Coturnix japonica: one gene and its partners. The protein of the gene in region 3 interacts with the protein of the main gene of each other region in a pairwise test. Links are inferred from orthologs where the notes say so. Each region holds a gene or a part of one and is shown on either strand. Other genes may lie near its edges. The genes, in order: CARD9, CDR2, TRIM23 and GEM.

Region 1 (4,675 bases), on a different chromosome or scaffold from region 3:
AGCCTCAGACTACAGAAGGAAAAATGGTGATGCTCCACTTAAGTTACATAAAATGCCCTTCTGAGATGAGGGTTTTGCACTTGCTGTAGTAGAAGCTAGTTTTAGTGTTAACTGTTCTTCCGCAGCTGAAATACTGCAGTATTATTGTCCAGCATTTGGTTTAGAATTGTGGGGAGATTGGAGCAATTCTTTGTTCTGTTAAAAATAGGTGAAGAGAGAAAGGAATTAATAGAACATTGCTGCTGTTCCAGGTGTTCTTCTGGACATTCTTCAGCGAACGGGGCACAAAGGATTTGAAGCATTCATGGAGAGTCTCGAGCTTTATTACCCACAACTGTATAAGAAAATAACTGGGAAGGAGCCGAGCAGAGTTTTCTCTCTGATTATAGGTAATGTTTGAGTTCTGGCATAAAACTTTTTAGTGATAAGTGAGTGAAATTCTGGAGCGCGCGCGTGTGTGTGTGTGTTGCAGACAGGACAGCAGTTAGTGATACTTGTCTACCTGACAGACACAGCTGGGGAGTCAGGCCTGAGCCAGCTCCTGATGAATGAAATTACAAAGCTGCAGAGAACAGTGCAGGAGGAGCGGCAGAAGGCCCAGGAGCTCACCGTGTGGCTGCACACCAAAGAGAACATGATCAGAGAGATGTGGGTGAGGGACAGCCTGCTCCGCAAGCACCAAGAGCGGGTGCAGAAGATGAAGGAGGAGAGGGACAGTCTAAGCAAGGAGCTGCGGAAGTGCAAGGATGAGAACTATAACCTGGCAATGAGCTATGCCAGACAGAGCGAGGAGAAGAGCAGTGCCCTCATGAAGAACAGGGACCTGCTCCTAGAGGTGAGTGACCCCCTTCTTAAGCATCCTCCTTCTTGCTTGATCCCTGAAGAGCTGTGCTGTACATCAGGTGTGTCTTTGCCTGGGATGGTGTGGCTTAGTCTTGATCCCTGAAGAGCTGTGCTGTACATCAGGTGTGTCTTTGCCTGGGATGGTGTGGCTTAGTCTTGATCCCTGAAGAGCTGTGCTGTACATCAGGTGTGTCTTTGCCTGGGATGGTGTGGCTTAGTCTGAGTTATTGTGTGTATTCCTTGCAGGTGGTATGTCTTAGTGGTCCCTGGCTCAGCCCTGTAGGCCCATGTGTTACAAGCTGTGCCATGAAGAATCGAGTCTTCCCCTTGTTTGAGGCTGGGCCTTCTCACAAGGGCAATGTAGAACCAGCCTGTTGTACCCATTTAGCACAAAGTCTCAGCTCCCCAGAACACCAGACTTCCTAAGGAACATAGAGCTGGGGAAAAGCTTGCACCATGCTTGCCTGATAAATGGGGAACTCTGCCACGAGAGCACTGCTTTTGCAACCAGGCTTTTGTGTCTGTTACTGATGAGCTCTGAACCTCCTTGTAGATTGACAGCTTGAAGCATAGCCTCATGAAGGCTGAGGATGACTGCAAACTAGAGCGTAAACACTCAATGAAACTGAAGCACGCCATAGAACAGCGTCCGAGCCATGAAGTGATGTGGGAGATCCAGCAGGAGAAGGAGTTGCTTTTGGCCAAGAATCAGGAGCTGGAGAACACTCTCCAGGTTGGTGGGGGGGTGACTGGGTGAGGAATCTAAAGAAATTATTCTTCTATGCAGCCAGCACAGCGATGGAGCTGTACTGAGTGTTTTGAGGGTCAGCTATGGCCTTGTTCTCCCAAGTTGTACAGAGAGCACGTTGGATTTCAGAGTTAGATGGTTGCTGTATCTTTTGTTCAGCAGGTTGCCAGAGAACAGAATTTGGAGAAGAATCTCTCCCGTGAGACTGTGCAGAATGACTGCAGCCAGATACTGGAGCGCAGGGACCTGCTGAACACCCTGTACCACCTCCGCAAGGAGCTGCGCCAAGCCGAGGTGCTCCGAGACAAAGTGTGTGGTGCAGTACAAATCCCTGCTGGGGCTCAGTGGGGTCAGATGGGCAGATTAAGCACATAAAGTGTCTTACCAGTGAAGCAGCAGAGCTGCGAGGCAGCATTCGCTGATGCTTCTATTCTAGGGTCTGTGTTGCAGTTTGAGGGAAAAGATGTGCTAATATTCTAGTGGTCTGAGTCTGTGACATTAACTGTGTTACCTGTTGATGCCTGTGCCTCAGCCTGCAGGGTGATGGGAGCTTATATCATGATTGACAGCTCAGGTACATGTAAAATCTGCCATGTTAGCAGGCTTTCTAGTCATACTGCCTGGTCTTCTGGTTGGCTTTGCTCCGGCAGGGCAGTCTGGCTTTGGTGTTGCAGGGAAGTCTGGCTATAGCAATCTGTGATATAGAGCAGAAGTGATGAGATTCTAGCTTGGGCTCACCCCACAAGCCATGTCTCAACAGTATGCAGAGGAAAAAGAGATACTTGAACTACAGTGCATGTCTCTGAGGAAGGACTCCCAGATGTATAGAAAACGGATGGATGCTGTCTTACAGCAGATGGAGGAAGTGGCTTCAGAAAGAGACCAGGTGATAAAACGTTCCTCCAGAAGCTGCTGCTAATCCCTGGCTTGCTGCTTGAAGCAGGCAGGTATTGTAACCCTGAATGTGGTGTCGTGCTACAACACGTTGCCTCTTACACCAGGCACTGCTGACCAGAGAACAGTTCTACATGCAGTACTCAAAGAACCTGATTGAGAGGGATGCTTATCGGAAGCAGATTCGGGAGCTGGGGGAGCGATGCGATGAGCTGCAGCTGCAACTCTTCCAAAAGGAGAGTCAGCTACTGGCTACTGAAACCAAGCTGAAAAGGCTGCAACTGGAGCTGCCTGCACTGGTATGTTTGTGGGGTTATTGTGTGTGATGAGTTGGAAAGTGTTGAGTCTAGGATCCAAATAAGACTGCTTTGAGACACTGAGACCTAACCAATCCGATTTCAGCAAGCAGTGGCCACCTGCTTGGGTAACCATTTATTTCTGTGAAGACGTGATGGTTCTTAGGAGCTCACCCTGGTCTGCTGAAGCCTTACACATTTGGAGTGCTTCCAGACACCATAAAGGCATTGTCACCCACTAAAGAGTGAACTCTGGAGTCTGTACAAGCCATTTGGGTGAAATAGGAGCAGGGTATGAGAGTTCATGGAATTAAATGAGACATCTGAAGACTTGTAATTATTGTGGCATCTTATGTGCTTTCTCCAAATGGTCAGATGAGTGTAGGAGGAAGTTAGTTCACATTTCTATCTTCTGGAGCTTTTGATGTCCTCTGTGTTCCATTGCAGCCATTTATTCACTCATGAGGAGTAACAAACTTACTGGTTTTATTTCAGACTTCTGACCTGGATGACACCTCCTCCAGAGATTCCCAGGATGTGAGTAGGGTGCCTTGTTTATGTTTCATTTTCTCCTGGGATGGTTTCAGCTTCCTCAGTTGCGCTAATTCCCAAAGAAGCAGCAGTCTGTGCTCCATGGGTCAGGCTCACAGCAGTGACATCAAGTCCTGAGGCAGCAAAGCAGGCTAACAGCTAAGGGTGGCTTCTCCTTATGTCCTGAGACTTCTGACCATGGGGATGCAGCTGTGATAAGATTTAAGTCCAAGCAGACCAGAAGATTCAAATTATTTTGCATTGCTTCTAATCTCTCTCTTATGAGAGAATGTGCAAAAATAAGTATTATCCTGAGAACATGCGTAGAAAAGAGGGTTTTGGTTTTTTCCAGCTTAGTTCATAACTGTGGTAGGGGTTGTCACATTGTCTGGAGACAAAATGAATGAGCCCATAGTCATGGAGGATAAGTCTGTGTGTAGATACACAGCTTCTAGTTCAGAATGTTTCCTGTTTTGCTTACAGCAAGATGCAGTGGGGGAAGGTCGGTTATATGCCTGTGTCCTGTGTTCCTGCATTTGTTCCTAGCTATTGTCTGAGAAAGAATATGGAGTACTTCTCATGATCTTAATTTGTTTGTGTCCCAATAGCTTACTCTTCATGCTCACCTAGATGAAGATACACACCTGACTGAAAGTAAGGTTTCTACTGGGGAAAACATACAGCATGGTTCTTGATGGGGTTTCCCAGTGTTCAGAGGGACAGGAACAGACACTTTTAGTGCAGAAGAGGAATCCACTGACTGAGGGTTTGGTCATTTGGGTGAAATAGGAGCAGGGTATGAGAGTTCGTGGAATTAAATGAGACATTTGAGCACTGCCTTCTGAATTGGGCCAGCCAAAATCACCTGGTACACAATGCCTTCAAAAAGCAGCTCCTGGATGCCTCTTCTTCACACAGTCCTCTCGTGTTTGTGGCTGAGCTGAGAATGGAACAAGCATCCTTCCACTCCAGCTCAACCACATGTCTTTCCCCAGAGACATTTCTTTCCTCTCTCTTATGTTGCAGGCTATTTTCACAAAAGCAGAACCATGTAATTAACACTGTCCCTGGTTCAGTTCTTGTGGCAGCCCCAGTGGAAATGATTCAGCAGCACAGAGAAGAGCAAACAGGGTCCTTTAAAGCTTGAGATTCTCCTTTGAAACATGTTCCAAAAGGAAGGAATCAAGCAGAGATCCTCACCTGAAAGAATTAAGCAATCATTCTCTGAGATGGGAGACTTTTCACAGCAGCTGCCACACTGAAACAAAGCCTTTTCTTACCCTACCTCAGCCAAATCAGAATGACATATCACAGTATCTGATCACTGCATTAGGAGTTGAGCTAAAATACGATCTGTTGAGTA
Region 2 (5,491 bases), on a different chromosome or scaffold from region 3:
GGGAGAAAAGAGGATCTAGCTTAGGTTTGTTACCTTAGTATCTTTTGTTGTGACGCTCTGCTCTCTGCAACTAGTTTTTGATTAGTGTCTTCTAGTTCTCTTGCTGTCACATCCAGCTGTTCATAAACTTTTGCATGTTGATCATTCATTTGACGCAAGAGCTCCACTTGCTTTGTGAGATACTGCAAGACAGCATTGCTGTTACAAGTCTATACTAGAAACACAGGATAGGGCTACTATTCTGCAGTTTTGTTCACATTAAATACCTGCTATGATTGCTGTGATTTAGAAACGTACAGGTTCCAGTGGTTGCTTTGGTTACTGCCCAGTTGAAAAGGTGCAATCAGTAGCTTAGCTACTTCTCTTGCCTTTGTCATGGAGGTCAGCAAAGGCTGATCAACCAGTCCTTTACCCACATGAGTTGGGTTGGTTCGTGCAAACTGTGTTTATCTGTTTAGCCATCCTTGCTGCAGTTAAACTATTGCCAGTGCTACCACAAACCCATCTGGATTGGGTTTGTCTGTGCTGCAGTCATCACCAACTCAGCCACAAACCTGGATTTCAACACAGTTCTTCACAGAGTCCTTCTAAAAGTTGCACTGAACTACATCATAAATTTTGTAATAATGTTGACCCAATAATTTTCTCAGCATTTAAACTGAAGTATTGGGTAGCACTACCCTGATTGTTTTTCTGCTTGTCTATGTTTGAATCAGCGTTAGGTTCAGCAAAACACATTTTAGGATGTGGTCACACCTGAGATTCTGCAGACTCCTATGTGTCAGGAAGTAGAACCAAGCTATTGGATTCAGTCTTTAATTACCTACAGGGAACTATTTCAGTCATTATAATGCTGAAAAAGTCTCCTGCACTTTGTTTTGTTTTTTTAAATACAACTCCACACAAAGTGATCTCATTTTAATTCCCTTTACTTTTATGGTTAACAAAATAACCTGCTAAGTGTCTAGGATTATTTCAGAAAGTTAACCATCACCTAAGACTCTCAGTACAAGTGCCTTATATCGTCCCAGCTAGGGCAGCACTGAGCCAGCTTCAAAAAAAAGAAAAAAAGAACAAAAATTTATAATAAACAGACTTGATAACAAACCCCCCAACCCCTAAACTATTGAATACTTATTTGTTACGTAGAATTAACGCCATAAAATAAATTCTGTGTTACTACATACTAAACATATGAGCACCTGTTGGACTTCTGAGCAGAACTACATCTCCGTACACACAGTTACATGCTGAAAACTTGTAACATTCTGCTTAACCTTTTACCTCCTTAAAAGATCGATGTGTTTATATTTTAGGCAATTTAAGAACAGATTATAAGTTAATCTGAGACTAGTAACTGCTGCATAGACTTCCTGAAGATCAGCATGACAGCAGTTGCCAGATCCTTCTGCAGCCTGTGTGCACGTGGCAGGATTTACACTAAAATAGTACATGGATTAGCTGCAGAATCTCAGTGTGACCCTCTCCAGATTAACTTTTCCTGTTGGTTACTCTCAGAAAGAGCTACAGAGATCTTCATATTTCCTCCAGCAATATAAGAGTGGCTGAACACAGAAACCAAGGTTTTGGTGGCAGAATTTGATGTCGCCATTTCTCCTAATGGGCTTTTGTGGAAGTTTTAACTGAATGGAAGATGTGAAATGCTATTTCCTTCATCTTGAGTCTTCAGCATCTTCAGTGCTGGTATCAAGTTGGCCTGGTGTGACCAGAACATCAAAACAAGGTATGGCTCTGGTAACACCTTAGGAATTGACATTTGTTCATACTGCACAACAGTTGAGTACATATAATGGAGCAGCAGTTGAGACTTCAGGCACTCTTGCACACAATGAGAGGAGAGCTCTGGTTCTCTGCACACCAACTTGAGAAATACTACGATGCAGACAGAGATAAAGCTGCCCTTTCAATCCAGCACTTATTACACCTGCAGCAATTAGTTTGTGGAACACGTGTCAGCACAGAGGTCAGATAGAATGATCCAAGGCAGTAAAACAATTAATATGTTAACTTTTAACTTATCAACTGTAATCTTAAGCATCCCAAAGCCTTTGACCCTTCCTTTTTTAGTGCAGACAAATAGTACCGTATTTCAAAATATCATTCTATTAATCATTCTATGTTTGGGAGTTTGCTTCCTGTAAGATATGAATTAGTAGGGGAAAAAAAAATCATTGCTTTTTTGTACAGAAAAGGGTAGTCTAAAGTCTGGCAAAGTAGCTCCAAAAGCATTGAAAGAATGACTGTATTGCAGAGACTTTAACATTAGGAACATCAAGTGTAAACCCTGGAAATAGCATTGAATATTTTATCCTGTGCAGCAGGGAATTCCCGGTTCCCATTGGCGAAACCAAGCAAGTTAAGAGAATAAATAAGTCAGTCTGAACATACAAGGACATGACCCTGCTATACACCAACTACACATCACTGCTAGAAGGATGCTTCTCACCACTTCCTTGTGCTAAAGCTCTCCTATGTAGAGAGCTTAAAAACAACAAACCAAAATGAAACAAGAAGATCTTAGTCAAATAAGCTGGCTAAAACCAAACGAGATACCACATCCTTAATAGCACAAGGATATTTCTGTAAATAAATGCAACTGAGCAATCGGGTCTTTTTCCATGTTTCAAGACTGCATTATAATACAGCCACTGATTAAGAAGCTCTGCTCAAGGAGCCGGGTTAGTTGTGCACTGCAGAGTTAGGCTGTGTTATTTCAAAATCTGCTGTATCTGCGTTAAACACTTTCTTAAACATGGCTGTCATACAGGAGTTGAACCTGGAGTAGAACAGTATTTGCACAGCACACCTTGAAGTGTGCCATGCAACACACCCTGAAGTGCTCTCTAGATCTAAAGAATCAACCTTCCCTGTAAAAGCCTCATCTCAGTGAGGCAAGTCTCTGCATAAGTGAATATTAACAAAACAAAAAGAAAAAAAAGAGCTATAGCACTGGCAATCAATACAGGCCATTCTAACCATTGTGTCACCGAATGGATGTGATAACAAAGACATAGTTTGGTTCTTTCTACTATTAAGTGAAAACATCAGGTTATAAAACAAAAGCGCTTTATAAAATAAACGAAAAGCTGCTTATTTATATCAACGTGACTATTTTAGAAGGCACCTATATACTTCTAAGGCTCAAGTTTAGGCTTTTTAAGTCACCTATTGCTACAACAATGATAAAAGGTTTAAGCCCTGAGCTGCCGCTGTACAAAAATACTCCAACTGTAACCACGTAAGTAAAGCTTGCACAAGTGAATTCTGATTTTGTAAGAATTTAGCATATACCAGTCACAGCCTATTCCCTGTGATTCATACCAGAGCCAAATTGAAACACTGGACTTCATTTCCATTACACTGCCAGAGTAATGGAGAAGTACTGAATATTTAATACATTTAATTATTAGAGGCCGCACATTGCCCTCAAATAGCTTTAAAAAAAATATCATTATATTGGCAAATGTTAGGTCTGCAAGAATATAAGCACCATTAGAGAAACTGCCAAGAATGGCTGGGGCTTCCATGGAGTAACAAAGATGAGTGTTTCCAAAAGGGCAGCTCTGATTCTCCCTCCCGAAAACACCTAAGAACCACACGTCCTGTATTTAGGTATTGTTCTGTGTTTGTTCTTGTTGGGTTTTAGTTTTTAACTGAACTGCAGTTCCCTTTACCCCAGTAGAAGAACACATCCTTCAACTTTCCTTAAATCTTTATCATGCTTTTTTGTCAAGCATTTAAATTTCACTGCAGTAATCATTAATAATTAAAATAATATGAAGTTGTTAATTTATTCATCATATAATTTCATATCATTCCTACCAGACAAGACCAGCAAAATTTAGCTATAACATTCCTGAAATAGCTTGTCTGTAGAAAAAATATCAGTTATGTGTCATTATTCAAGCTGAATCCAACAGGAATTTTGTGGCACAAAGACTCCATTAATGAGACAAATGGGTCTAACAATGATCAAAGCCTGTGAAAGTTCTTGAGGTAGCAGGAGCAGTTAAAGGCTGACGCTTTCAAGAGAAACACTGAACAATCAGATGTTAAGAAATCAGTTCTCAGCTTACGAGCTGTTCTGTTGCACATCTACATGGCTTACACCTGGATTCTTGTAATATTTACCTCTATCTCCTGCAGTTGCTCTTGATTTGTTGCATACATTTGCTGTAAAGATTCTTCTAGTTCAGTGTTGCGGTCCAGTAGCGTCTTCCCAAGCTCAGCAGCAAGGTGAAGATCTAAACAAAGAAGTCACATGCACATAAGGTACGGACCCGAAAGCATGATCTGTTTTTCAAGTATTTGGTTAAAATACTGAGTAGAATTATTATTTTTTTAAATGACTGCGGTACCCAAAGATGAAGTTGCATACAGATGCATTGGCCATTCAGATACTGTCTGTAAGGCAAAGACTTAAGTAAGTCCTGAAACCTAGAAGGTATTCCTTCTTCATGGACCTTCCTGGGGTCCTCCTTGGGTACCACAGCCTTAGGGCAGACACAGGCAGACACCTTCTCTTTGCTCCCCTCCATCTGCCCTGTACTGCACGCACCTCTAACCACAGCATCTGTTAACTGTAACTATTTCACTGTGGTTACAACAGTCACGTTTCAGAAGAATAAGCACAAAACACCCCATAAGTGCTCATTAGGTTATTCTGAGGCCAAAGCTGATTGCATCCTCATTTACTGTGTTGTTTGCCAAGGAGCTCGGGTCGCGCAGGATCAAGAGCAAAATGAAAGTTTGAGGCACTTGATGGTGAACTAGTAAAATCAAAGACACAAAACTTAAAGAAATGCAGCTATTCTGCATTTCAGGCTCATAAACCTGGGAGACAGCAATTGTTTTATGTGCTCCAAAACACCATTTTAAGTGGAATTTGTTCGCAGGCACTTAATCTCTATTTCACTTCAATCACCTCCAGGGTACAGTGACTGTAGTTGTTTCATATTAAGAAATAAGTCATCTGAACACCCAGCTCCTTTCTGAAGGGAAGCAGCATGAGTATTGCTAGATGTTTCATATTATTATGTTTAAAGATGCATGCAATTTAAAAACTAACATAACGTGATGAAATCAATCCTGTGTTATTGCTAAAATAGTAACTACACTGTGCAGGTATTACATGTTCCAAATTCAACAGATTTCTAACGTTACTTTTCACCTCCTTCCCATTACCTGGGTCTGACCAGGTTTCTCCTGCATGCAGGCAGCCTTGTTAGTTCTCATATGGGTAGGGATAGCATCACTAATGGGAAAGAAGCAGAAGGAGGTTCAAGAAAAACCCAGATTCTCTTTAAGATGCCTGAAATGAATACATGAGACATACTGCATCACCCGCTGTTCTAGTTAGACAAGAAAACATTCTCAGTTTTCATGTGATTAAGATGCCCTTGTTTTAAGGTGTTTCTCATCTCCTTCCTGCCCTTCCCCAGTTCCCTTATCAGCTGGTTGCTGTAGCAGA
Region 3 (5,491 bases):
GCCTGAAGTAACGATTTAAAACATATACACACCACTTCTGGATTAGGTACTTGTTGCAGAAATAACAGGCATGCAATGAATTAATGAATTAAAATTAAATAATTGTTTTCCAAAAGGATATGGCATGAAACCTCTCAAGAGAACACCGTATAAGAGCACATACTGGCACATCAGGGATGTCGCCAAATAAAAGTATTTCTGGAATTCATGAATGCTAACCTAAATCTCTGAAGAAAAGCAGCTGATCTTCAAACAAAACTACTGGTGTAGCCAACGTTAAACGTTGTTTCTTGTACTAATTATAACAGAGTGGTTTTGTTGCCCCAGAGAGCACTCATCTTGTGATAACTTCATGTCGAACTGTCTACATTTGCTGAAACAAATAGAGCACTGTAAAGAAGATACATAATTCCTGCTTTGCTTTCTTTTAAAGCACATCTAGCACTTGATAAATTGGGTAGTTATATTTTCATGAGATTAAAAGTACCTTTGTAAAAGTGACAGGTATGCTAGCATCCAGCTGCACATGGTCAGCAAGTTCTGTAAATTGTTGCTGCTGCTTCTGTAATGTCTCTAGCAGTCTTGTAATTTCCTGCTTGGCCAACACTACTCTGCAGTCATCCTAAATAGACAAAAACCACAAAAGCATAACGCTTTCTTAGTAATTTACTTAGCAGAATGAAACAACCGTAAACACAACAGTTGGAAAGAGAACTTAAAACTTTCATTTTAAACAAATACTTTAGGTAAAGAAATATTTACATAAAAACTTTAAAAACCAAAAAAAAGTACTTAGATAATTAGGTCTTGTCATTCTTCTCTAATACCAGTAGATACTGAACAGTTCTGTGTTTTAAAAAAAGTTATTCCTAGATCTCTTAGTCCTTCATGTAAAAGAATATAAATTATAAAACAGAGTAAAGCTAAACATTTAGAATATTTACATCATTCACACATAACATCATCAGCTGAAATACAGTTGCAGCTTCACATCACATAGTAACACAATTGATAAAAAAGATTATCAGTACTGTGACGTTGCTGACAAAGATTTGCAGTTAAATGTACATTTGACTCAGCAATCAGACACTAGATAAAAATTTTTAAGTGCAAGTAACACACTAATGAAGTAATTTCTCACACAGTTCATTATAGATGCCATCTACTGTTTGTTATCATTAAGAGAATATTGCATCAGACAGTCTTACACATTCACTTCCTTCACACATTTAATCTGATACTGAATTATCCATACTGCAAGTGCAAAGATCAAGAGCAAGTCATTTAGTATAAAACTGTTTTCAAAAAACCATTTTCAAAAAACTGTTAGCAACTGCAGCTATAAAATCCTTCCCACAAATCCCACAGGCGTTTTCTTCCTTCCTTCCATTTCACCTCTGTTCCAAAAACCTCTCCCGTATTCAACCAGAAGTTACTCTAGAGTCATGCCATAGAATTTACAGCAACTGGAGGACTTGGCCAATCTCATGTAATATAATTACAGTTTTAAAATTATAAAATAAAATAAAATGCAGAACACTTTTTTGTTTGTAGCCTAAACTTACACTGCATTATCTTTCTCTTGCCAGATGCTGCAGCTCACTTGCCAACCTACCTGTTGTAAAGTCTTTTCACAATGAAGGCAAGCTGTTGAAACCTGTGACAATAGGATAGTCATGTCTTCTTGTTGCTGTCTAAGCCAAATCAATTTCTCTCTCACATGAGCATCAACAACACTAAGAGCCATTTCCTCCTGTCGACAGAGGGTTTCATGAAGATCCGAAAAATAGGCTCGGACACATGAGCGAGCATTCTCTGCAGTCCCAGGTACCTACAGTGTCACAATCAAAATGTCAAGAGAATCAAAAACACCACAAGACTGTACAAGTGTATGTGTCATTTTATTCATATCTCTTAATTTTGTTCAAGCCTGTTTAGTTACCTTACAGTTCTAGTCCCATTTACATAGACAGCCTCATCGTTGTTAAGGTCAAGATTTCAGATAAATTATTTCAATAATCAAGTAGCCTTTACACCTCTTTCCTTACTGACTCTCTACATTCATGATGACTAAAAACCTTGACACGTACTACAAGATTGCCTTTAACTGTTGTCTCAATAACAATATTGGGACAGAAGTCTTAATCTCTCAGTAGACATTAAAACTTAAAAGTTTTGTCTTGTAAAGCCTACATATAGTTTTCCAAGAACTTCCTTGAAATGTAATTGTAATGAAGTATGTTATAATTAACTACCTCCCAAAAAGATCTTTATTTGTTAAAAGCTTAAAAACAACCTTACAAGCTCCCATTTGTTATTACAATCTGTAAATATTCTGTATATGCAAGAAAGAAAAAACAACAAAGAAGATAGCATACATGTTCTGTGTGGGCCATTCCAACTCCATCTTCAACAATTTGCTCTCCTCCTTCTATATGCTGAACTATTCCAACTAATTTTCTGGAATAATCTGAGATTTCTTCTGTGAAAGTTCTTATACAGTGGGCCATGTCTAAAATGGATGCACGAATCTGGTTTGCTTCTGGTTCCAAGACAGAATGCTATTAATTAAAAGCAACATATCAATGATCAATCAAATATTTTCTTTAAATATCACTTCTGTCGTACTAGATAAAAAATATATTAATTAAGTAAATCACATAAATGCATTATTTAGAATCTAAATACTATTCTACTACTAAGACAGGCATCTAGCAATTATATAAGTACAAACAGAAATTTGCCTATTTACTATAATTACTTATTAAAGCACACACAAAAGGGAGGTTGGAATGCAACTGATTGGGTGAACAAACTACAAGATGAATAACAACCTTCAGGTCAGGCAATAAAATACCATGAGAAGATCTGAAAAGCATCAAATTAACTATATAATTTACTTATAAGTAATATAGTCTTAATCGTAACTATTTTCCCTGTAACTTTTATTGTGGCAGTTCTCCTAATGAAAAAGGAAAGAAAATAATGACAGTACTTCTATAAAAGCACATCAAGATTCTGCTCTCCTCTCTTGATAACTTTTTCTACTTAAATTGGATAAATAATATGCAAGTCATTCCATAGCATGACCAGAAACAGATTCTCAGCAGTACCTTATGACCTTGATGCTTCCCATACTCTTTGCAGACACAACACATGAGAGGACTGGCTTGACAATCCTCTTCTAAACAAACAAACTCAATAGCATGCACTTGGTGTTGGGAGCACATGGTCTTCTCATGAGGTTTATCAGCAAGAGGTACACGTTTGTGTTTCGCTAGTGTCTTTGTAGAATGAGTAAGCTGAGAACAGTCTGCACACAGGTGAGTGGCACAAACAGTGCAATAAACAGATGCAACATGGGCTTCATCTTCATCACAGCGAATGATACTCTAAAAAAATAACACCAACATAAACCAAAATTGTTAGTATTTATTAATATTTATTAATATATTAATAATATTTATTAATAAAATATTAAAGTATTTATTATTTATTAATAATTTATTAATTAATAATAAAAGTAATTATTAATATAAATTATAAATAATTTTCAGCAACAGCGGAAAAGTCAGAAGACCCGACACCAATATGGACTACTTTGAAAACCTGACCTCTTGTTACTTAACAATAATAAAAAAATCACTTTCCCTAACAGTAAGTTCCAATATTACTCTAGAGGGTTTTGATTGAGCGGTTAATTGACTTTCTAAATGTACACTTCAGCAGAAGCAGTAGAGCTTTTGAGGCTAAAGTAATTCAGGTTCCAGACAGCTCTTCAACATAAGCATTATGGAAAGAAGAATGAGAAAGTTAGAGACAAAACAACAATAGAAAAATATGTGCTCAGAACAGTGATCTGCTCCTAAAATTGCACTGCATGCTTTGTGCATAACAGCTGTTAATACCAGACTGCTTAAAGCAGTCCTTTCTGGTAAAGAAGCTATTATACAACACAGTCACACTGAATGACTATAAAAGGTAACTATCCAGAAAGAAGAGCTGTTTCAAAGTCTGTAAAAAGAGATGCTAGGAAGTTCCAGAAAACTCTCCTAAAATTATTACAAATAAAATATCCAAACAAGTAACCCTCTGGAAAAGTCTTTAAAGCCTAAAAAAGGGGGGAAGACTTGGTAATAACTTCTCTGATTTAGTAAGTGCACATTAGAATTAAATTATGAATTACTGATAATCTTCATGTTAGATACAGAAAGAAAACAACTTTATTAATGCAAACACACTTGCCAAGAAAATTTTCTTCTATCTAATAATATTTTTACACAAATGTAACACAGTTCTTTTTCCAAAATCTGTACCTCTCCAGATAGACCAATGGCTTCTTCTGCTGTCCCACACTGTCCAGGAGGCCCATTCTGCAGCCGTTCCAATAGTTCCAACAAAGCAAAATTCTTTTTCAGTCCCCAGACACCAGAATCTCCTATTTTTGAGAAACAACTAAATAAAGTGAGGGGATAGGAATAAAACGCCTAAGCAAATAACATAATGAGAATTTCACAAAGCACAGAGAAGATTTTAACTAACATTAAAAAGAACATATAATTCCAGTGAGGTACCATGGCTGCTCAATGTCAGCTCACAATAACATTCCATCCTGTTCCTTCTTTCCATCATGGAATTATTTACTGTTTATGCAGATTGTCCCTACTTAAGAAATGCCACTTGTAAAATAATCCGCGATAACTAACAACAAAAGACCATAAGAACTATAATTATCATGAAATTTAATACAATTTACTTAACTATGTATAGTTAACATTTCTACTGCACTAACAGATATACAGCAGAAAACCTATGCCAGCTATCTCCTCTATCAAAATTTTGTACAGGGTTGCTGACACAAGAAAAGACAGTAGCATTTCCTAGACAAAGCCGCATGTACATAACACTTTCATATTTCAAATACTTACAGTCCAAGCAAACATACCAGTGCAAGAATATAAACAGATCTATCAGTGCACTTCTGCTCATTAAGGCATTGTAAAAAAGTAAATAAAATGGCTTGTCATTTCATTCAAGTAACAACATAAATGTTGCTTTAACCATGAACATAGAAAACAATTTTAGAAAACAGCACCAGATCCAGAAAAAAAATCTGGGCTTCCTCTTGTAATTCAGGTGCAAAGACCACTGGAACAGCAGTTGGCTCCAAACAACCTTCAGAAACTCCTGACACTTTCAGTCCACATATTTTGTGTCTGACAGGAGAGTCCCTCTGACACAACCTCACAGAACCTACATCCCAGTTATCTTCCCAAAGAGAAAGCCCAGGCTACTTTAACCATCTGATTCTCCCAAGTGTTGTTTCAAGCATCCTCTATTACAGCGCCCTGTGGCAGCCTGGTAGCTGTATGTCCTCTGCATCCTTCTGGAATTCAGATGTCGCCTCAACTAACCTAGACTTTTTTTTCCCCCCACAATACTGAGAATAGTCAAACACACCACAAATATTAATGTATTGTTTCAAAGCTTT
Region 4 (6,253 bases), on a different chromosome or scaffold from region 3:
AAAATATTTGCTTTCACTTTAGCGGGGACAGTTTACGGGTGAACAGTCACTGCTGCTGAGAGCAATACAGCTAACAGCCCACCAAGCAAAGAGGGCACGGTTTTGTGAGACGGGAGCTGCTGAGACTGAAATGATTGCTGCATCCCATTTCTTTCCCATTTCACAGTTTCCCACATTACCTTTGATGTCAAAAAGCAAAGCAGTCAACAAACCACAGCAGTTATTTATTTTGTACTGAAACCAAAATGACCCATATCTAGATTATAAGCGCTGCGTGACTAAGTTCTGCCTAGATCTGGAGGGGCTGTTCCCACTCAATCACAATCAATCCTTGCTGTGAAATTCTCAGTCTAGTTTCCACTTCAAATACTAATTCTTCTTCCCCCCAGATCCAAGGACATTTGGATGAGTAGTGTGAGGCTCAAATCCCCCTCTAGACTTGTGTTGCTGGCCAGTGAAAGATGTTGGGCTTAGGGTTTCTCAGAATACTGAACCTTTCCCTGCACTGTGTGAGGAGTCTGTTCCAGCTATGCTTGTAGATAGGACCATGCCTTAACTCCTGCCTCATACACTTTCTTTTGGGTATTAGTGGAGTGAACTTTTCCCCAAATTGTAATCACAGGCTTTTCTCGAAGCCAGAAATCTACAACCAAGCAAAAGACTCAGCCAAAAATACTCTGTATTTAAAATAAAATCAAACACTGTAAACAAGAGCACAGGCTTGACACAGCTTAAAATTGAAGGATTCAAAGCACAAAGCTAATCAAGAGGGGCATCTGTGTTCATGAGTCAGATGAATCTTATAGTTAGTTGCAAAACTAATCCCTTGGAGCAGCTGTATTCCCCTCTGTGAATTGGCTGTCCTGAGACCATCATCTCTTGCAATAATATTTCCAGTTTGTAAGCTCAAGTTTGGATAATGGTTTCTTTGACTGATCCAGCATTGGCATGGGAACAAGATCCATCTGCACCAGAGGACAACATTTAGAGGACTACTTCTTTGTTCTCCATGACACAGCGAGAGGCTACAAGTACGTAACCACACTACTTGAAGATGTTCTGCCCCTGATCCGAATCATAGAATCATGGAAGCTTTTCAGTTGGAAAGGACCCTTAAGGGCCATCTAATTCAACTCCCTTGCCATGAACAGGGACACCTACAGCTAGATCAGGTTGGTTACAGCTCCATCCAGTGAGCTTACTTTGAAGTCAACATTTTAAAAGGGGAAATACAACAGCAGGTTTCCTGATACTTCCATAAAGCTGGCCTTGAAAACTTGTCATGGCCATCCTCCAAGCAGTAGTGCTGGGAGTGCAAATGAATGAAGAATCCATACTGCTTCTCATGAAGAAGGAAACTATCTGACAAGGATGTGCAAAGTAAATCCTGGCTTAAGAACCAAAAAACCTGTCCTGCCTATGCTCCACCAAAGGCTGGAAAAAAAAAGCTCAGAAACTCTCCGTGCTGTCATGGGCATCAGCACAAGCGGAACAGATAGAGGAGAGAAATGCTCTGTGTGTTGAATAGCAAAACCAGCCAGCAACTTGCACGTGTTACCAAGATGACAGCACCTGTGTCCTTAGGACCACAGCAGGCTTCTATCACTGCATGTCCCTTCTTCCACAGCACCTTGCTCACACCCTCATGGCTGGGTGCCACAGCCTCACCTTCTGCAATGACTAGTCTTTGGGACTAAGGAAGGTTTCAAAATCCTCACTAACACGGGAACATGAAATGAGGGGTAGATATATTTTGCTCAGACTCCCTACAGCCTATGCTGACACAACATATTCATATGTAAGGCTGAGATAACATATAATGGCAAATGTTTTGGAGAATTGGATAGGGCTTTTTATTTTTCATTGCATATTATTTCTGAGCATTACATTCTTGTGGACCACAAGGAAAGGTCCTTGTTTTCCTCTGCCCTATAGAAAGCTGGAAATAGCCCTTTGGAGCCTGTGGTGACACAAGAATAGGACCAGAATGAATACTGAATGGCAGCTTCCAACAAATTCTTTGAAATAAAAAAGCATGAGAATCTGTATTGTTCCTTTTCAGATGCTTTGAGTTGTTATTAGAGAGTACCATCCTCGTTGTAGCTTACTTTGCTTATTCTTGTTTTCTTAAGAGAGATGCATGTGTTGGAATTGCTTTTGACAATCAGATCCAGATGTTTGCTAGGTCAATTTTACATTAATTGACCTTTCTGATTTTCCACGTCAATTTCTGCTGCCATGGCTGGTGGTGAGCAAACACAGACCCCAGAGCATGGTGACCTACCTCCCAGCACCTCGCAGTCGCTGTCAATGCTGTCGTGTACCCCTGCAAAGATGTTGGCCAGCGACGATTTGCCCACACCTTGTTCCCCAATCAGCACCACTCTGTAGCAGTTGCTGCAGGACTCAGAGGAGATGACAGAGTCAGATGACTCCGAGGACCAGCTCCTTCTGTAGTATTCATCAGGACTGATGGTGTATCGCTTCTGCACATTGTACTCATTGGAGTCCTTCTGGACCAACAGGTTCTTCCCATCAGCAGGAATGCTCCATCGCTGCTGCTGCTGCTGCAGGCTGCTGTGGTGGGTGCGACGCATGGTAACGTTGTTGAGGGTCATTTTTTTACCCCTGGTGAGAAATGTGGAAGCCATACACTTTATTCTCAAAATACTTACAAACACACCATCTCAAGGCATCAGGTCCTGCTCTTCTATGGGGATACAGTATGCAACAACAACAACAAAAAAGGAGACTCCACACTTTTGCAGTTGCTAGTACTAGTATGCAAAGAAATATTTCTAGCTTGTGAGTCAGAGGCTTTTTCCTGGGGATGATGCCACCCCCATACACTAATCCTCTCTGTCTTTAGCCTGTACATGTTTCCTGTAGTGCTAAGTGTATGGGCAGGGAAGCACTCAGCAGAGCTCACATATGGCTGCATCCCCATCAAGAGATGGGCAGCACCTGCAGGCAACGCTCCCTGCCCTCCTGCCTCCTGGGGCAAGCAGAGGGACCCATCCCTCATACCTCAAACTCACAATCTTACACAGCTCCCATAGGAGAGGAAAGCCATGCAAGCAAGCACATGTCTTTGGGTCTCATCTATGTCGGGATAAGCTTAAAACAGTGGCTTTCTGGCTGCTAGCAGGGACACAACCAAGTCCAATGACTTTTCAGAGGAGGTATATGTTCAAGCCATTACAGAAGGTGGCACTGGCAGAAAAAGATCATAAGTTTACAAATACTAAATCAGAAACTTCATCTGTTTCACAATTAGCTAATAGGTTAGCTCTTCCAACCTTAGCATGGCCCCTAATTACACTTAAATTAGCAAACTCAGTTTTGAGCGGGTTGGCGGCAGAGCACAGTGATGTCATTCTCACGGGCCACCAGCTACCATTTTTAGGAATGTTACTTCTGTGGCTATTTGGACATTTTGCTTTTTGGAGTATATCTGAATTTTATCAGCTCTGTTCTCCATGTCAGTAGGCAGGAGAGCTGCCCATGAAATGAACTTTCAAACTTGAATAACAAGCGGTGAATGAAAACAAGCACAGCAACACATGAAAACAACATGTTCGGATCACTACTCCTTTTCACACAAAGCTATCTGAAAACTTCTTAGAATGAACATAGATCAGGCTGGAGAATAAGCAGACCAAAACCACTTTCTATCTGATCTTATTACAGCACTCACAGTACTTACTCTGTGACACGCAGTGCTTAGTGGCAAAACTAGATTCTGACAAGAAACTAGGCATCAAGCAAAGCCTGCTTCACAAAGTCAGATAGGAACCGCAGTTTGATTTACCATGCATTACTTTCTTTCAGTTTCCCCAGTGAAAAGACCAGATGAGAAAAAGCAATTCCAATTCAGTCAGATATCAGAGCCCAAACAAATGATGACCATCAATAAACAATCACGTCGCAGTCCAAGCCCAGGTTTGATGGCATGCACTGCACTCAGCTGTGTGGGTCTACAAAGCCACAACAAACCCCACAGACACAGGACCCAATGCACAGTGGCCAGAGATTCCTTACTTGTATGTGACCGTCCACGCTGTCAGCTCCGGATTCGCGCTGCCTTCCGCTCCGTGGGCTGTGTTACACTGAGCTGCTCTGCCAGAGTAAATCCCCTCCCGCTTACGGGCTGCCTCTTTAATTCCTTCTCAGCGAACCTGGTTTATATTAAGCCCATCTGATCGGAGACAGGGCTTTTCCGTGACGTGGTTGGCCTTTCCATCCAACAGCCAACCCCCAACTGGGAGGAAGCAGACATGCAGAAAAGCAAAAACTTACAAACAGCCTCAAAAGACTTACTTGAAATCATATGATTGTCTTGGTGTTGCCAGTAAAACAAACACATTTGGGGCTGACATGAGGAAAACAGGCAAGTGGAAAAATTAAAAAAAAACATGTCCTTCCATCTTGCTCAGTTCTGCATTCAAACGCCAGCAGGATTAATGGTGTTTTTAAAACTACGTGTTTCATTAATGAATATAATGCAGTAAATGTGTGATGTTCTCTGTCTGCAAAATGCAGTTAACTCCCCACTGGACAAGATGTTTTTTTGTGGAATAAAAGATCTGAATATCATTTTAGAATTATCTCACAAGCATGAATATTATTCTGTTGTTGTTTTGTTTTTTTTGTTTTGTTTTGGTTTGGTTTATTTGTCTTTTAAAGAGATCCAAAACATACAATCCTACTTTTTCCATCACCTTCCAAGGCTCTACCAGCCATCTCCCACCCCTGCTGCAGCACTCCTCCTGCAAGGGCTCAACAGAACGGCTGCCCACAGACTGAGTGCTGCTCCAGCTGGACGCCAGCAAAGACGGATGTGAATTACAGAGCACAGAGCCCGGGCGACACGGTGCAGATTCTGTCTGCAGTTTATTAGGAGAGATGGCTATACAGTGTATGCACCACAAAGCATGTGCCTGCTCCTCAAATGGTGCCATTTCTAACAGCCTGTGTGGAAATCACAATTAACAGAGCAAAGAAATAAACCTCCACAAAATACTTGGTAGGGATACCATCAGTTATACAGAAGTCTACAGCAAACTCCCACTATTTTTCCTTCTTTTTCCAAACCTGTGACTGCCCTTCCCCTGGCAGCTGAGCTTTAGCACCAGCGCTGTGCAGGGTGGAACATCCCTTCCCTTGGTACTGCCTGGCACTCATGTCACAGACTTCTGCATTTTTGTGTCTCACATAAGCCTTGTACAGAACATTTCCTCTGATAATGCAGCCCTTTATGAAACTCTTCCACTGAGATATGCCTGATTTCTCTCCCCTTCAGCTTTGTTGCACTTCTGCATTTTTCATGAGGATTTTCAGGGATCTTCTGAGCCCATCCTGTTGGATCACCTCTGTTCAGCAGTGGCTGCCCTGGCTCCAAGCCCTGCAGCTCTGCGTAGGATGCACACAACAACTGTTTGTGCTCACTGTACAGCACAGCAAAACACGGCACAACCCCTGTCAGGGAATGTTTATGGCAAGGCCAGTGGGTCTCAAAGCAGAGCACTTTGCTGTCAGCACACCGAGTTCTGAAGTTGCTCCTCCCTTTTGCAAAATGTAAATGAAGTGGGGGAGCGGATGGCTGCAGAGCTGCGTGCTGCACCCTCAAGGGATTTCAGTTCTCTTTATGTCGCCTGTCACTCGTCACCTCCTATAATAATGCAAAACCTGTCCATCACAGGGCTGCAGAGTTTTATGGCCAGATGGATGCCAGCAGAACCGTGGGCTCTAACGTCTCACCCAAATGTTTAACTTGTATGATAGCAGAAAGCACAGACAGCGGAAATGAATCACAGTCAGAAAAGGCTTTGCGTTTAGTTATGGCTCGTGTTAGATCAGCGATTGCCAGACATTGTGTGTCGTCTTCATAGCAATCAAGGTAAAGCAAACACAGCTCTCCAGTGATCCCACAATACATGCCCTGCTATTTGCTTACCAGGCATAAGAGCAGGTTAATTAATGAATTGTGGATGGAACTCTACTCAATAAGGCTGACCATGGGCCTGCATTACCAAACACACCTCCACAGACTGATACTGGGCTCTGCGATCCTGATCTGCCCTGTCCTCTCACACTCTTTGCCTGTCAACAAATCTGCAGCAAAAACTGCTAGAGACACAGCACAAGAAGAGAAAAACCATAAGGCCAGGTGCTGTCGTAAAAGCACGAGGGCTTGGATGCTGCTGGCTTGTGCAATATTAAACTTAGAGTGATCTCATGTTTGAATACTATC

What was found.
Region 1: the proteins of TRIM23 (region 3) and CARD9 interact in binary tests that used the Homo sapiens proteins (3 or more experiments, as listed by UniProt). The two-hybrid records come from large-scale screens. The link is inferred for Coturnix japonica from reciprocal best matches to the Homo sapiens genes TRIM23 and CARD9.
Region 2: the proteins of TRIM23 (region 3) and CDR2 interact in binary tests that used the Homo sapiens proteins (3 or more experiments, as listed by UniProt). The two-hybrid records come from large-scale screens. The link is inferred for Coturnix japonica from reciprocal best matches to the Homo sapiens genes TRIM23 and CDR2.
Region 4: the proteins of TRIM23 (region 3) and GEM interact in binary tests that used the Homo sapiens proteins (3 or more experiments, as listed by UniProt). The two-hybrid records come from large-scale screens. The link is inferred for Coturnix japonica from reciprocal best matches to the Homo sapiens genes TRIM23 and GEM.

Annotation. Positions count from the first base shown.
Region 1 is NC_029532.1:6,404,089-6,408,763, forward strand, and holds part of CARD9 (caspase recruitment domain-containing protein 9), read left to right. Parts: intron 1-251; coding exon 252-389; intron 390-509; coding exon 510-835; intron 836-1,396; coding exon 1,397-1,576; intron 1,577-1,750; coding exon 1,751-1,900; intron 1,901-2,351; coding exon 2,352-2,477; intron 2,478-2,592; coding exon 2,593-2,784; intron 2,785-3,276; coding exon 3,277-3,318; intron 3,319-3,654; exon of another isoform or gene 3,655-3,920; coding exon 3,921-3,966; exon of another isoform or gene 3,967-4,675. UniProt on the Homo sapiens protein: Adapter protein that plays a key role in innate immune response against fungi by forming signaling complexes downstream of C-type lectin receptors.
Region 2 is NC_029529.1:8,358,078-8,363,568, forward strand, and holds part of CDR2 (cerebellar degeneration-related protein 2), read right to left. Parts: intron 4,266-5,491; coding exon 4,153-4,265; intron 183-4,152; coding exon 34-182; intron 1-33.
Region 3 is NC_029547.1:14,361,466-14,366,956, reverse strand, and holds part of TRIM23 (E3 ubiquitin-protein ligase TRIM23), read right to left. Parts: intron 4,439-5,491; coding exon 4,317-4,438; intron 3,393-4,316; coding exon 3,114-3,392; intron 2,562-3,113; coding exon 2,379-2,561; intron 1,832-2,378; coding exon 1,616-1,831; intron 623-1,615; coding exon 488-622; intron 1-487.
Region 4 is NC_029517.1:114,172,859-114,179,111, forward strand, and holds the start of GEM (GTP-binding protein GEM), read right to left. Parts: upstream 4,183-6,253; 5' UTR 4,042-4,182; intron 2,629-4,041; 5' UTR 2,619-2,628; coding exon 2,285-2,618; intron 1-2,284. UniProt on the Homo sapiens protein: Could be a regulatory protein, possibly participating in receptor-mediated signal transduction at the plasma membrane. Has guanine nucleotide-binding activity but undetectable intrinsic GTPase activity.